Cricetulus griseus: one gene and its partners. The protein of the gene in region 2 purifies or fractionates together with the protein of the main gene of each other region. This does not show direct contact. Links are inferred from orthologs where the notes say so. Each region holds a gene or a part of one and is shown on either strand. Other genes may lie near its edges.

Evidence for each region.
Region 1: the proteins of Bag5 (region 2) and Dnajb1 purify together in Homo sapiens (affinity purification with mass spectrometry; 3 studies listed by BioGRID and IntAct, with this or other methods). This does not show direct contact. The link is inferred for Cricetulus griseus from reciprocal best matches to the Homo sapiens genes BAG5 and DNAJB1.
Region 3: the proteins of Bag5 (region 2) and Dnajb4 purify together in Homo sapiens (affinity purification with mass spectrometry; 4 studies listed by BioGRID and IntAct, with this or other methods). This does not show direct contact. The link is inferred for Cricetulus griseus from reciprocal best matches to the Homo sapiens genes BAG5 and DNAJB4.

What each region holds. Positions count from the first base shown.
Region 1 is NC_048596.1:160,786,711-160,790,456, reverse strand, and holds the start of Dnajb1 (dnaJ homolog subfamily B member 1), read left to right. Parts: upstream 1-1,341; 5' UTR 1,342-1,444; coding exon 1,445-1,655; intron 1,656-3,134; coding exon 3,135-3,715; intron 3,716-3,746. UniProt on the Homo sapiens protein: Interacts with HSP70 and can stimulate its ATPase activity. Stimulates the association between HSC70 and HIP. Negatively regulates heat shock-induced HSF1 transcriptional activity during the attenuation and recovery phase period of the heat shock response.
Region 2 is NC_048598.1:182,323,016-182,326,761, reverse strand, and holds the start of Bag5 (BAG family molecular chaperone regulator 5), read right to left. Parts: upstream 2,725-3,746; 5' UTR 2,552-2,724; coding exon 2,538-2,551; intron 1,345-2,537; coding exon 1-1,344. Other genes in the region: cytochrome c oxidase assembly factor 8, read left to right, coding at 3,217-3,345. UniProt on the Homo sapiens protein: Co-chaperone for HSP/HSP70 proteins. It functions as a nucleotide-exchange factor promoting the release of ADP from HSP70, thereby activating HSP70-mediated protein refolding.
Region 3 is NW_023276806.1:7,154,276-7,157,921, reverse strand, and holds part of Dnajb4 (dnaJ homolog subfamily B member 4), read right to left. Parts: intron 2,685-3,646; exon of another isoform or gene 1,774-2,684; intron 1,331-1,773; exon of another isoform or gene 1,285-1,330; 5' UTR 1,254-1,284; coding exon 1,043-1,253; intron 1-1,042. UniProt on the Homo sapiens protein: Probable chaperone. Stimulates ATP hydrolysis and the folding of unfolded proteins mediated by HSPA1A/B (in vitro).

The DNA of each region.
Region 1 (3,746 bases), on a different chromosome or scaffold from region 2:
ACTGGTTCAGGACATCCTCTGTTGAGCTAAAGGATCCCCTAGTCCCAATTCCATTTTGGGGGCAGGGGCTCAACTGTGTTTAGACAGAGCCCTTTTCAGTTCTCTTGGGGTCAGTGTGGTCAGGAAAACCAGAACACACACATCCGGATAGACCACCAAGAGAAGGCTAAGGTCATCTTTCTCACAGGTCTCGGGCTGTCCAACGCAAGGTTCAGCAGAGGCTCAGACGCTGCAGGGCTGCCAGAGAGGAGGTGTCAGCGTCATCCACTAAACAAGACAATTAGTCATCCCTTTGTCCCTGGTTTTTCTTGAGCACTTTCACAGATGCTGAGTAACGTCAACTTCCTATATACAGCGGCCATTCCGATTTCATAAGTGAGCACGACTGAGGCCAGAACGGCTACTTTACCAATTCAAGGTCACACAGCCAGGAAGTACTAGGATCTGGAACGAAGCCTACTCTCTCTGGCTACAGAGTCAAGGCTCGTGCTCTGACTTCCAGGTAGTTTCTCTCCCTGCAGGAACCAAAACCGACTACCCCCGCTTCTCTAAGCCTGGCAGTTTCAGAAGCTCTCTCCCCTTTGCTCTCAGCTGTGTCCTTGACCGCCATCATCCAAGACTTAAAAACCCAAAGAGTCAATTAACAGAGGTGCTCTGTTCCCCCACAGCAAGAAGCGCCCACGTCAAAGCATTCGGAAATATTTACGAAGCACCTAGTGGGTCCTGAAAAAGATGCACAGCCACGAAGCAAAATCCAATGTCTGCCCTGGTGGTGAACTCAGACAGCAAAGTGAGTGACATCTACCCGGAACGCCAAGAACCCGGCTAATTCCTCAGCAGGAAGTAAGGAAGCCTGAGTACCCGGACTGGGGCGATCCCTCGCCAGACCAGCCTCACCTCGCTTTACAGTAACGGCCTGTACGGAGCAACCGGCAGGAGAGGGTGGGGTGCGGACTTTTATCCCTGGGTGACAGCAGAGGGAACTTGGAGGGACGGGTCGGGCAGCTACAAGTCACCGGGCAGGACCGCCCAGCCGGTCTTCACCTAGGGACAGGGTGCGGCTTCGGAAGAGACCCGCCTCTGTAGCCCCGCCCCCTCCCCACGTCGTCACCAGTCGGCAGTGAGAGCGGGCCGCGATTGGCTGTCTCCACTGCGGAGGCGGGACCTCAGGCAGGGGCGCGCGCGCCCCAGGGAGGCGTTGACCAGGGTAGAGCGGGAAGGGGCGTGGCCTCGCGCGGAAGGCCGTTGGCTGCCGGGTCCCACCCCGGATGTTCTGCGTCACGGAGCGGCCGGCAGCGATTGGCCCGAGTGGCGCGGCGCGCCGGGAGGGGCGGAAGGTTCTGGAGGGCTGGCGGGATCTGGAAGCTTCCGCCGGACGGGTATATAGAGTCCGGGACAGGGCAGCTGCGGAGCCGGAGGCGGCGACAGCTGGGCGGCGGTGGCCATGGGCAAGGACTATTACCAGACGCTGGGCTTGGCCCGCGGCGCGTCCGACGACGAGATCAAGCGAGCCTACCGCCGCCAGGCGCTGCGCTACCACCCCGACAAGAACAAGGAGCCCGGCGCCGAGGAGAAGTTCAAGGAGATCGCCGAGGCCTACGACGTGCTCAGCGACCCGCGCAAGCGCGAGATTTTCGACCGCTACGGAGAAGAAGGTACGCGTGCGCGCGGCCGGGGGTGACCCGCCGTTTGACAGGCAGGGAAACCGAGGCACTCGGGGCCTCTCTGAGGCCTCGGCCCCGCATCGACGGCCCGGGGATCCGGCGGCGGTGCCGCCTCCGCCCTCTGATCGGCGGCCTCAGCCGGGAGGAGGAGCTTTGGGCGCGCCCGCCGCTCACACAGAAGCTTCTAGCACGTCTGCCGCAGCCCCTCCCGGCCGGCGGGCCGGCCGCCTGCACAGCGCCCGAACGCTGCAGACGGAGGGCGGCGGTCGCGATCGCTAGGGTGTGAGATTTTGAAAATCGCCCGAGTGTTTGTTCCTCTGGGCCCGCTAACCCGCAGGCTCAGCGCTTAACCCAGAGTTGAGCTGAGCCTTTCTGGCCGCAGTGCGTAGGAACTTCTCTGTAAGGTGTTACAGCATGGCAGAGAGGATGGGGCTGTCAAGTAGACCTGGTGGCGCCGACAGCTGCAGGCCTTACTACCGAATTGTCACGAAGTGAAAGGGAGTAATGTGTTTCCTGCTCCTGCTGCCATTGGCAGTTAAAGACTTGAGATTCACCTAGAACAAACTTAAAAATACATATAACCCCTCCCACTACGGTTCCCAGGGCTTTTTTTATTAAAAGCAAAACTTGTTGAGCCAGGTGCGGGAGCTCACACACCCCACTTTGGAGGCTGAAGCATTGTTGTGAATTTGCTTCAAATCTGAGCTACAGAATGAGCTCCTGTTTCCAAAAGAGCAGGATGTAGTGACAATCCCAGGTCTGGTATGTCTGAGTCAGGAGGATTGCCTCTAGGCTAACCTGGACTATTCAGCAAGTTCAAGGGCTATATAACATGACAGTCACCGGATCGCACTGTGTAGTTCAGGCTTTTATTTTTACTTCTATATATATGGGTACGTGTATGTATGTATGTTCACTGTGTACTTGCTTCGAGAGAAGAGGATGTTGAATCCCCTGGAATTGGAGTTAGTTGTCTGCTGTTGTGTGGGAGTTGATAATCGAACATGGTTCCTCTGCCATAGGAGCAAGTGCTCTTAACTTCTGAGCCGTCCCCAATGCCTCGTGTTGGAGTCCTGGCTGGTCTGGAACTTGCAGAGATCAACCTGCTCCTGTCTTCGGAGTGCTGGGTTTCCAAGCATTCGACACCATGTCTGGGCTTTCTATTTTAAGGATTTTATGGGTTTGTTGGTGGGATTTTTTTGTTTGTTTGTTTTGTTTTTTTCCCCCGAGACAGGGTTTCTCTGTAGCTTTGGAGCCTATCCTGGCACTCGATCTGGAGACCAGGCTGACCTCGAACTCACAGAAATCCACCTGCCTCTGCCTCCCGAGTGCTGGGATTAAAGGCATACACCACCCAACGCCAGGCTTGATTTTGTTTTGTAAATGTGTTAATTTATTGCAGTGCTAGAAATGGAAACCAAGGGCCTTGACTCTCCTACAGTAACTCTGATTTCTGATTTTGTTTTCCAGGCCTAAAGGGTGGTGGCCCCAGTGGCGGTAGCAGTGGCGGTGCTAATGGTACCTCCTTCAGCTACACATTCCATGGAGACCCTCATGCCATGTTTGCTGAGTTCTTTGGTGGCAGAAACCCCTTTGATACCTTTTTTGGGCAGCGCAACGGGGAAGAAGGCATGGACATCGATGACCCATTCTCGGGCTTTCCAATGGGTATGGGTGGCTTCACCAATGTGAACTTTGGACGTGCCCGCCCTGCCCAAGAGCCTGCCCGAAAGAAGCAAGATCCCCCAGTCACCCACGATCTCCGGGTCTCCCTTGAAGAGATCTACAGCGGCTGTACCAAGAAAATGAAAATCTCCCACAAGCGGCTGAACCCCGATGGAAAGAGCATTCGAAATGAAGATAAGATCCTGACCATTGAAGTGAAGAGGGGCTGGAAAGAAGGGACCAAAATCACCTTTCCCAAGGAAGGGGACCAGACTTCCAACAACATTCCAGCTGACATCGTCTTTGTTTTAAAGGACAAGCCACACAATATCTTCAAGAGAGATGGTTCTGATGTCATCTATCCAGCCAGGATTAGCCTTCGGGAGGTAAGGCACTAGGTGGGAGAATCATGAAAGG
Region 2 (3,746 bases):
AGATCAAGGTAGCTGAGGATGTTCTGGGCCAGCTTCACAGCCTGCTTCCTAGCAGACTTACACTTCTCTTCTCCCTGGGGGTCAACAGCGTCCAGGGTCAGCAACTGTTTGGTCAGCAGCTCCTCCAGACGGATATAGTTCTTATCAGTTCGGTTTCCACCAAACGAGAGGACTTCACCCTGAATCTCTGACAGGTTTCCAAGGACATCCCACACAGCCTTGTGTGGGGGGTTCTCCTCACTAGGGAAGAGCTTCCTCTTCTCCAGGGCCTCCTTGAGGTCCAGGTACGTGATCAGGGTCTGCACTTCAATCACGGCTCTTCTCCTGGCTTCCCGGATGCAGGGGTTCTTCTCAACACTGACTTCATCTAGCTGTCCGATCAAGCCCTGAAGTTCTGTCTTGGAGCTCAGGTACAGTTCGGGAGGGCTCTGAGCCTGGAGAAGTTCATTTTTTATCTCTCGCATCCTCTTGAGCACCTTTTCTATTTTCAGAATGGAATGGTTCTGCCCCAGGTCAAATGCATGTGTACTGTCAGCTTCCTCTTCTAAATCTAGGTATTTCAGTAGTTTGTTGATGTCCTCCACCACCTCCCTCCGGTAATTTCTGATCTCCGTACGCCCACACACGTCTAAAGCATCTAGATCAGCCATCAACCCTGACAGCACGCACGATAGGTGCCTGCAAGTCTCAGTACTGTCCACGCCCATCAGAAGTGCGATCAAAGTGCCCCTGGCCTTGTTCACCTCACACATCACCAAATTGATCTTGGCAACTGAAGGGTGCACATCCTCAGAGAGCGGCAGGGAAGGCTGCTTCTTCATGCAGTCTTCAATGATCTCTTGCACGGCACAGATCTTGGTTAGGGTGTGGTACCTTGCTTTCCGCAAAGAGATCTTCCCTCCTGTTTTAACATGCGTCAGCCTCAGAATGATGTCCTGGATGCCTTCCTCAAATTCGTCAGTCACACAGTTGCCTCCACTGTAAAAGGGCACGATCTTTTCTTTCACAAGGGCCTGTGCCTCCTTAAAGATGTTCTGGATTTCAATCCGGTGTGGGTGGTTTGCATTCTGCTCCAACTCTTTGAGAAGGCCTTCTGTCTCCTGCGCTGCCCTCTTCCTAGCTTGCTGAATGTCTCCTTTTCCTTCTGTGTCTACAGAGTCTATTTCAAAAAGTTGTTTCGTCAGAATCCTCTCCAGTCTCTTGTAATTCTTGTCATCCGCCAGGCCGCTGAAGCCAACCACTTGAGGCTCTATACTCTTGACTTCTCTTTGGATCTCCTGAAGCCTACTAATAGAAGGGTGTTGGTTTCCCATATCCATACTTCTGTGTTCAGTTTCACAAGCACTGAAAGACGGCAAGAGTAACTTATTACAGTCTCTGCAGGACAGTTAGATCAACCCACTTTAAACTCACTTTTAAAAGGCATACTTTTTAAAGGATTAATTGGGGCTATGGAGACAGCTGTCAGTCAAGTGCTCCAGTTGGAGCTCCAGAACACATGCAAAGACAGCCAGGGCAAGGGCCCTAGAGAGGGCTCAGTGGTTAAGAGCACTGGATGCTCTCCAGAGGACCTGGGTTCAATTCCCAGCACCCACATGGCCTCTCCTGGTCACCTGTAACTCCAGTTCCAGGTGATCTGATCCCCTCTTTTGGCCTCTACAGGCGCCAGGCACACATGTGATGCACACACATACATGCAGGCAAAACACCGGTGCACATAAAACGTAAAAGCCAGGCAAGATGGTGCTCACTTACACCACCGGTGCCAGGAGTCAGAGACGCGTGGACTCTGTGGTTCACTGGCCAGCTAGCCTACTCCGATTGGGGAGCTTCGGGCCATGAGAAGCCCCGCCTCAAAAAAAACAAAGTAGAAGGACACCACAGAAATGGTGTGTCTGGGGGGAGGGGGGCAGGGTTGAACTCTGGCACCCGGGCAAGCACCAAAACACACAGACGGAAGGTTTTGTCGTTATTTATAGATTTGGAAGACATACTCGAGGAAAGAGGAGATGTGACATGTTAACTCCCTCTCGGGAAAGCACTTCACAAAACAATGTGCCAACACGCCCGGCGCCAGGGAGGCAGAGGGAAGAGAATTAGGAGTTCAAGACCCGCCCGGGCCACTCAGTGAGATCCTGACTCAAAAGCAAAACGAAAACAGGGAGAAGTCTGTCCAGTCTGGGGTGGATGTCTGGGCCTGGGAATCAAAGTGAGCCGCGCGCACACACACACGCACACACGCACACACGCACACACACGCACACACTTTCACGGAGGCCAAACCATCCGCGTCAACCCCGTTTCCTCTGCTCCCACCGCCCTAGAGGACGACTGGGAGCGGCAGGCGGGGCGGGAGGCTCCCCTGTGGAAGTCATCGGGCGCTCTCCGGGGCTCCTCACCGGGCCACCGTTCTGCCCCAGGCCCAACCGGACTTGTCCTTTCCACGAAGTCCTCGCCCCCCTCGACTCCCATTGCTGCCCCGACCCGGGCCCCCGCCAGAAAGCGTGACAAGTGCGGTTATTAGCTGGGTCACTCGCCTCCCCGTAAGCATGCTTAGAGCTTTTCCCACGCTCGCTCGCTCGCTCGTTCCGTCTCTCAGGTTTCTGTCAAACCGCTCACTTCCGGCGGGCCGGCCACAGAACTCAGTCCAAGCCCGGAGAGGTGCGGGCGGCGGCGGTCTTGGCGGCCGCGGAGGGCGGCGAGGCGGGAGACCGGCCCGTCACGGGGAGCGGCGCCGGAGCGGGGCCCCCAGCGGCATCCCCCTCGCCCTTCCCGGCTAGGTCTGACCCGGGCGGCCGGTGAAGGGGCCGGCGGAGGCGGCGGCAGCTACTGGCCGCGGCGGCCGCTCCGGGGCGTCTCGGCCGGGCCCGACGCGCCGCCGCCTGACCTCACAATGGGCGCGCGGGAGCGGCGGCGGCGGGGAGAACGAGGCCCGCGCCCCCCCCGCGCTGCGCTGCGCTCACCTGGGCCGCTCGCGCCATCGCGCGCGCTCCTCCGCCTGCACTTCCGCAGCGTTGCCGAGGCGGCGCCCGCCGCGGGGCCGGCCGCCCAGCTCCGAGCCCGGGGAAAAACGCGGCCGGGCCCCGCCCCGGGCGCGCCCGCCGCCGCTCTCCGGGAAAGCGCACGGTCGGCCTCGCCCGCGCCGCCCGCCGCCGCCCGCGCGACGCTGCCGTAAAGCGGACCGCGGCGCTGTCGCGATCGCGCCGCGCGCCGGCCATGGCGGCTCTGCGGCCCGGAAGCGGAGCGCTCGTCCGGCCGCTCGTCCGCTCCTCGTCCAGCGGCGGCGGCGGCGGCCGGCTGGCCCGGGAACGCGGCACGGAGCGCAGGGATGCGGCGTCCAGCCCGGTGAGCGGACGCCCGGGGAGGGAGCGGGGCGTCCCCGGAGCCGGCGTGAAGCGCTGTCGGCGCGCTGCGCCCTCACTTCCGCTGCGCGAAGGCGCCCGGGCTCGGTCTGGAGGCGGCGGCGGCTCGGGCCGCGCGTTGTTTGTAAACAGTCGCGCAGCGTCAGAGGCCGCAGGGCGCGTCCGCAGCGAGCCGGGAAAGCGGCCGGGCGCTCGGCTTTTGTTTAACCCGCCGCCCTTCTTCCCGAGCCGGTGCTTCGTTTAAGGGAGGCCCGGGCCAGTGAGAGTGATGGCTGAGGCTTCAGGTGGAGAGCACTAGACAGCGCCCATGGCTGCCCGCACTGCATTTGCCAGCAGGCCGGCGACACAGGCTGGCGAGGTTTGCTTAAGCAATAATTAAAGGGC
Region 3 (3,646 bases), on a different chromosome or scaffold from region 2:
GTGCGTTAGTCCCAATTTTAAATTTAAAAACCCAAGCTCACATGAGTTAAAGCAGCTGTTGCTGCTCACTGACAATGGAAAGGTTCTAGTTTATGCATACATTTCATGGAGATGCTGGACAAACCTGGTTTAGGGTCCACATCGATAAAAGGAGACTCTCAAAGGTCTCCCGTTTCCTGTGCTCACTCACTAAGTTCTAGTCTCAGAAGGCAGGGGGAGAGTGTGGCAGAGGGAACGCCCCCCACCTCGGGAGGGAAGATTGGGGGTGCACACTTTCCTCTCACATAGATAGTAAAATGTCAGAAAGGATAGTTAACTCAAGGAAAATCAGACCTTGTTCTAACCAGGTGGCCATTTTAGGTTAAAAAGGAAAACCAAACTCTGAGACCTTGTTGCCTGGCACTCAATCACTGTTTACAATTAAGCTAAAAAACTTGTTCTGGTATTTTATGACATCAGGAAAATTCTTTCTTCTCTAGGCAGATTGCCAAAAACAACTAGACGCTAAATGCCTGTGCCTTCTGTGTCTAAGACACACGACTCTGTCTTGTTCAGTCTCAACTAGCTTTGCTCTAAAAAGGCAAAAAAAAAAAAAAAAAACCCTTCTTGTTTTTCTGAATAAAATATAAAGGACCCAGAATTTGAACTGACAATTTTAAGATTTTAAGTGACTGAAGACTATTAATTCTGGGGGGGGGGGGAATCCATTTTTTTAAAAAAGCGCAGGTTGCATAAGACTTTTAAACAATTCATTCCTCAGCACAGGAATTTAATTAAAATTTCTTTTAAAAAATAAGGTGCTAAAACTGTAAGTCTAACAGTAGAATATGTATAATACAATATTATTTAAGACAAAACAAAAAACAAACATGAACACTTCATTCATAGCTCACTCAAATAATCAGGAATAAAACCTTGTTTTTAATCAGTTATTTCCCTTTTTATTTCAGGTATGCCTGCCGATCTAATTTAAAGATAACCAGGAGGCTGAGAGAGAAAAAGGTGAGATTCAGGGCCAAAGGAAGGGAAATGGGCAGCTTACCTTCTTCCCCAAACTGATCATATATCTCTCTCTTTTTAGGATCACTCAGTACTTCATAGGCTTCTGCGACCTCTTTAAATTTCTCCTCTGCTTGCGGGGATTTGTTCTTGTCCGGGTGGAATCTGAGGGCTTGCTTTCGGTAAGCCTTTTTAATGTCTTCATCTGTAGCTCCTTTTTCAATTCCCAAAATGTAATAATAGTCTTTCCCCATTTCGAATGCCTTGAAATGAACTTAGCTTTCCCTTTGTAAAAGAAAACAGCGTCTCCAGTCTTAGCAATACAACGATTCTGAGAAAATAAGGCAAGCTGGCTATCTTAAAAGTTAAAGCAATCAGCGACTCGGCTCCGCTGTCTGGAGGCAGCAGGCAGCAGGCAGCGTCTCTTACGGATAAATATACCCCACACTAGAGAGACACGGCCTCCTTCTAGGCCCTCCCATTCTCACTACGTGTCTCTGCACTTTCTAGAACAGCAAATGCTACAGGACGTCACTTTCCCAGCGGCCTCTAGGCAAAGTGCTGGGCCTGTCCCTCCTCCATGGTTAACCATTCCCTTTCCTCTGGCTCTCCCATCTCATTTCCTGTGGATTTAACAAACCAGTATTTCAGCACAGAATGCCTGAACCAGAGATGCATTTACTTCATCACAGGCAAAGAGGCAACAGAAATAATTAAAGCCATTAGGTATCCCATCTTAAAGAAATTATACAAATAGAAAAGCCCTGAACTTACTGTAGGTATTCCAATTTCAAGTTACCCAGCTGTACAACAGCAGGACTAAACCATGAGGTATTTACATTTAAAGTCTTCAAATAATTTGGGTCATTTTCAAAATTCCAGGGGGCTTTCAATCTGAACGGTGAGGGGCGGTCACTATATGAAATTTCACATGGTTGAAAAGCTATAATAAAATAAAAAAGCAGCATTTTAACGTAAATGACTGGAGAGTGATTTTAACTAGTTTTTGGTAACATTTAATAATTCATTATTTGTAAAAGCTCATTGTCTGTGTTCTTATTGTGAAACGTAAGATCCCATTCCAAGGGTTACTGTTTGCCTAAAGCAGGAGGGTTCGGGAGGCTCACATTTCAACAGGCTCAGGTTCACAGTAAATCTCACCCTGAATCAGCTTAAAACCTGGGTATGCATCAAGGTGACAACTACTTTAAAGCACATTTCCCCTCATTTTAAATATGTACTTAATGACAAAGATTTTTGAAAACCTGGGGGGAAATCCCCCCCCCGTTTTTTTTTAGTATTCCCTGTTACTATCAGTATATTTTCTTTTAATTCTTTCAAAAAACATTTATTGCAAATTGCTGTAATTTTTTTTGCAAATTGCTGTAATTTTTTAATCAACAAAGTTTAAATCGCATTTACATTTGTATGTCATGTGATGCTTTCTCCTACAATGTATGTTGAATAAATGAGAATATTTTGAATGTATATAATTCATCTTTTATCTCTTATATGGGTTTTCAATCTTTTCCCAAAATGTTCCCATTTCTAGGTGAACTTAGTTTCTTAGCGAAACTAAGGCCTTGGATACAGTTACTAGGCACGCCCTCACCACTGACTATACTGCAGCCACACCATTTCATAGGATATTGAAAAGATGGATTGCTAAGACAATGTCCAAAGAAATGCACTCAGTTCACACTGCATTTACAACCCCTCTGGAAACGCGGGGCGGGGGCGGGCGGGGCAGGGGTGGGGGGCCCAAAGGGAAAGGAGTGGCCCTGCCTGATAAGAATACACTGAAAACTTGAGGCAATGGAAACGCCCCTCTGCTGGCTAACACTTGATGACTCGGCACTTCTGAAGGCTTACCTTTGCTGCACAGCTATAACAACTTCCTAGCTCTCCAAGTCCCTCCCACAGCACCTTGCTGATGGGAACCTGGCACACCTGGCCTCTACAGCCAGAGCTTAGTGAGCCATCAACAAACATCAATATCAAAAGACTTGTCAAATCCAGAGAATCTGGGAGAAGATATTATCAAAAGTCACCATGAGACTGCTATTTTGAAAATGCACACACCAGATATTTTAAGTATCTGCTTGCTGATACTGGTGTGTGTGTGTAGCAATGGGAGAGAATATCCAAAGAAGAGAAACTACAAGTGGTAACTGGCATGCTTTCCCCCTTAAAATTAAAGGCTAATATATTTTTGTCCAAGTATTAAAGTAGGGCTAGCACTTAAGGTTCTTATTTTACTATTAACTGGTAAGTTGACATGAAACTACACTTCTCTCGGTTTTATTACAGTATTGAAGCTAGATGTCTCACACCAGGAATTTCAGTACTCAGAAGAGCATGGATTTATTTTCCATATCTATCAAAAAGCTTAAATGTGATCATTTTATGAAAGTTAAAGCAGCCAAGTTTTCATGCAATAGTACAGAGAAGGGAAACACCACTCTACTTTGTCTTTTAATCAGGCTTCCTTGCTTGGGGTATTATGCTTCAGTGATTGTAGAAAAAGTATTTGAACACAGAAGATGGCATTTAAACCCCCAAACCTACAAGTATAACACATCATTCCACTGATCCCACCTTTTTCTAGTTTAGTACTCCTGAAAAACAAAAACAAATCCCAGCTGTG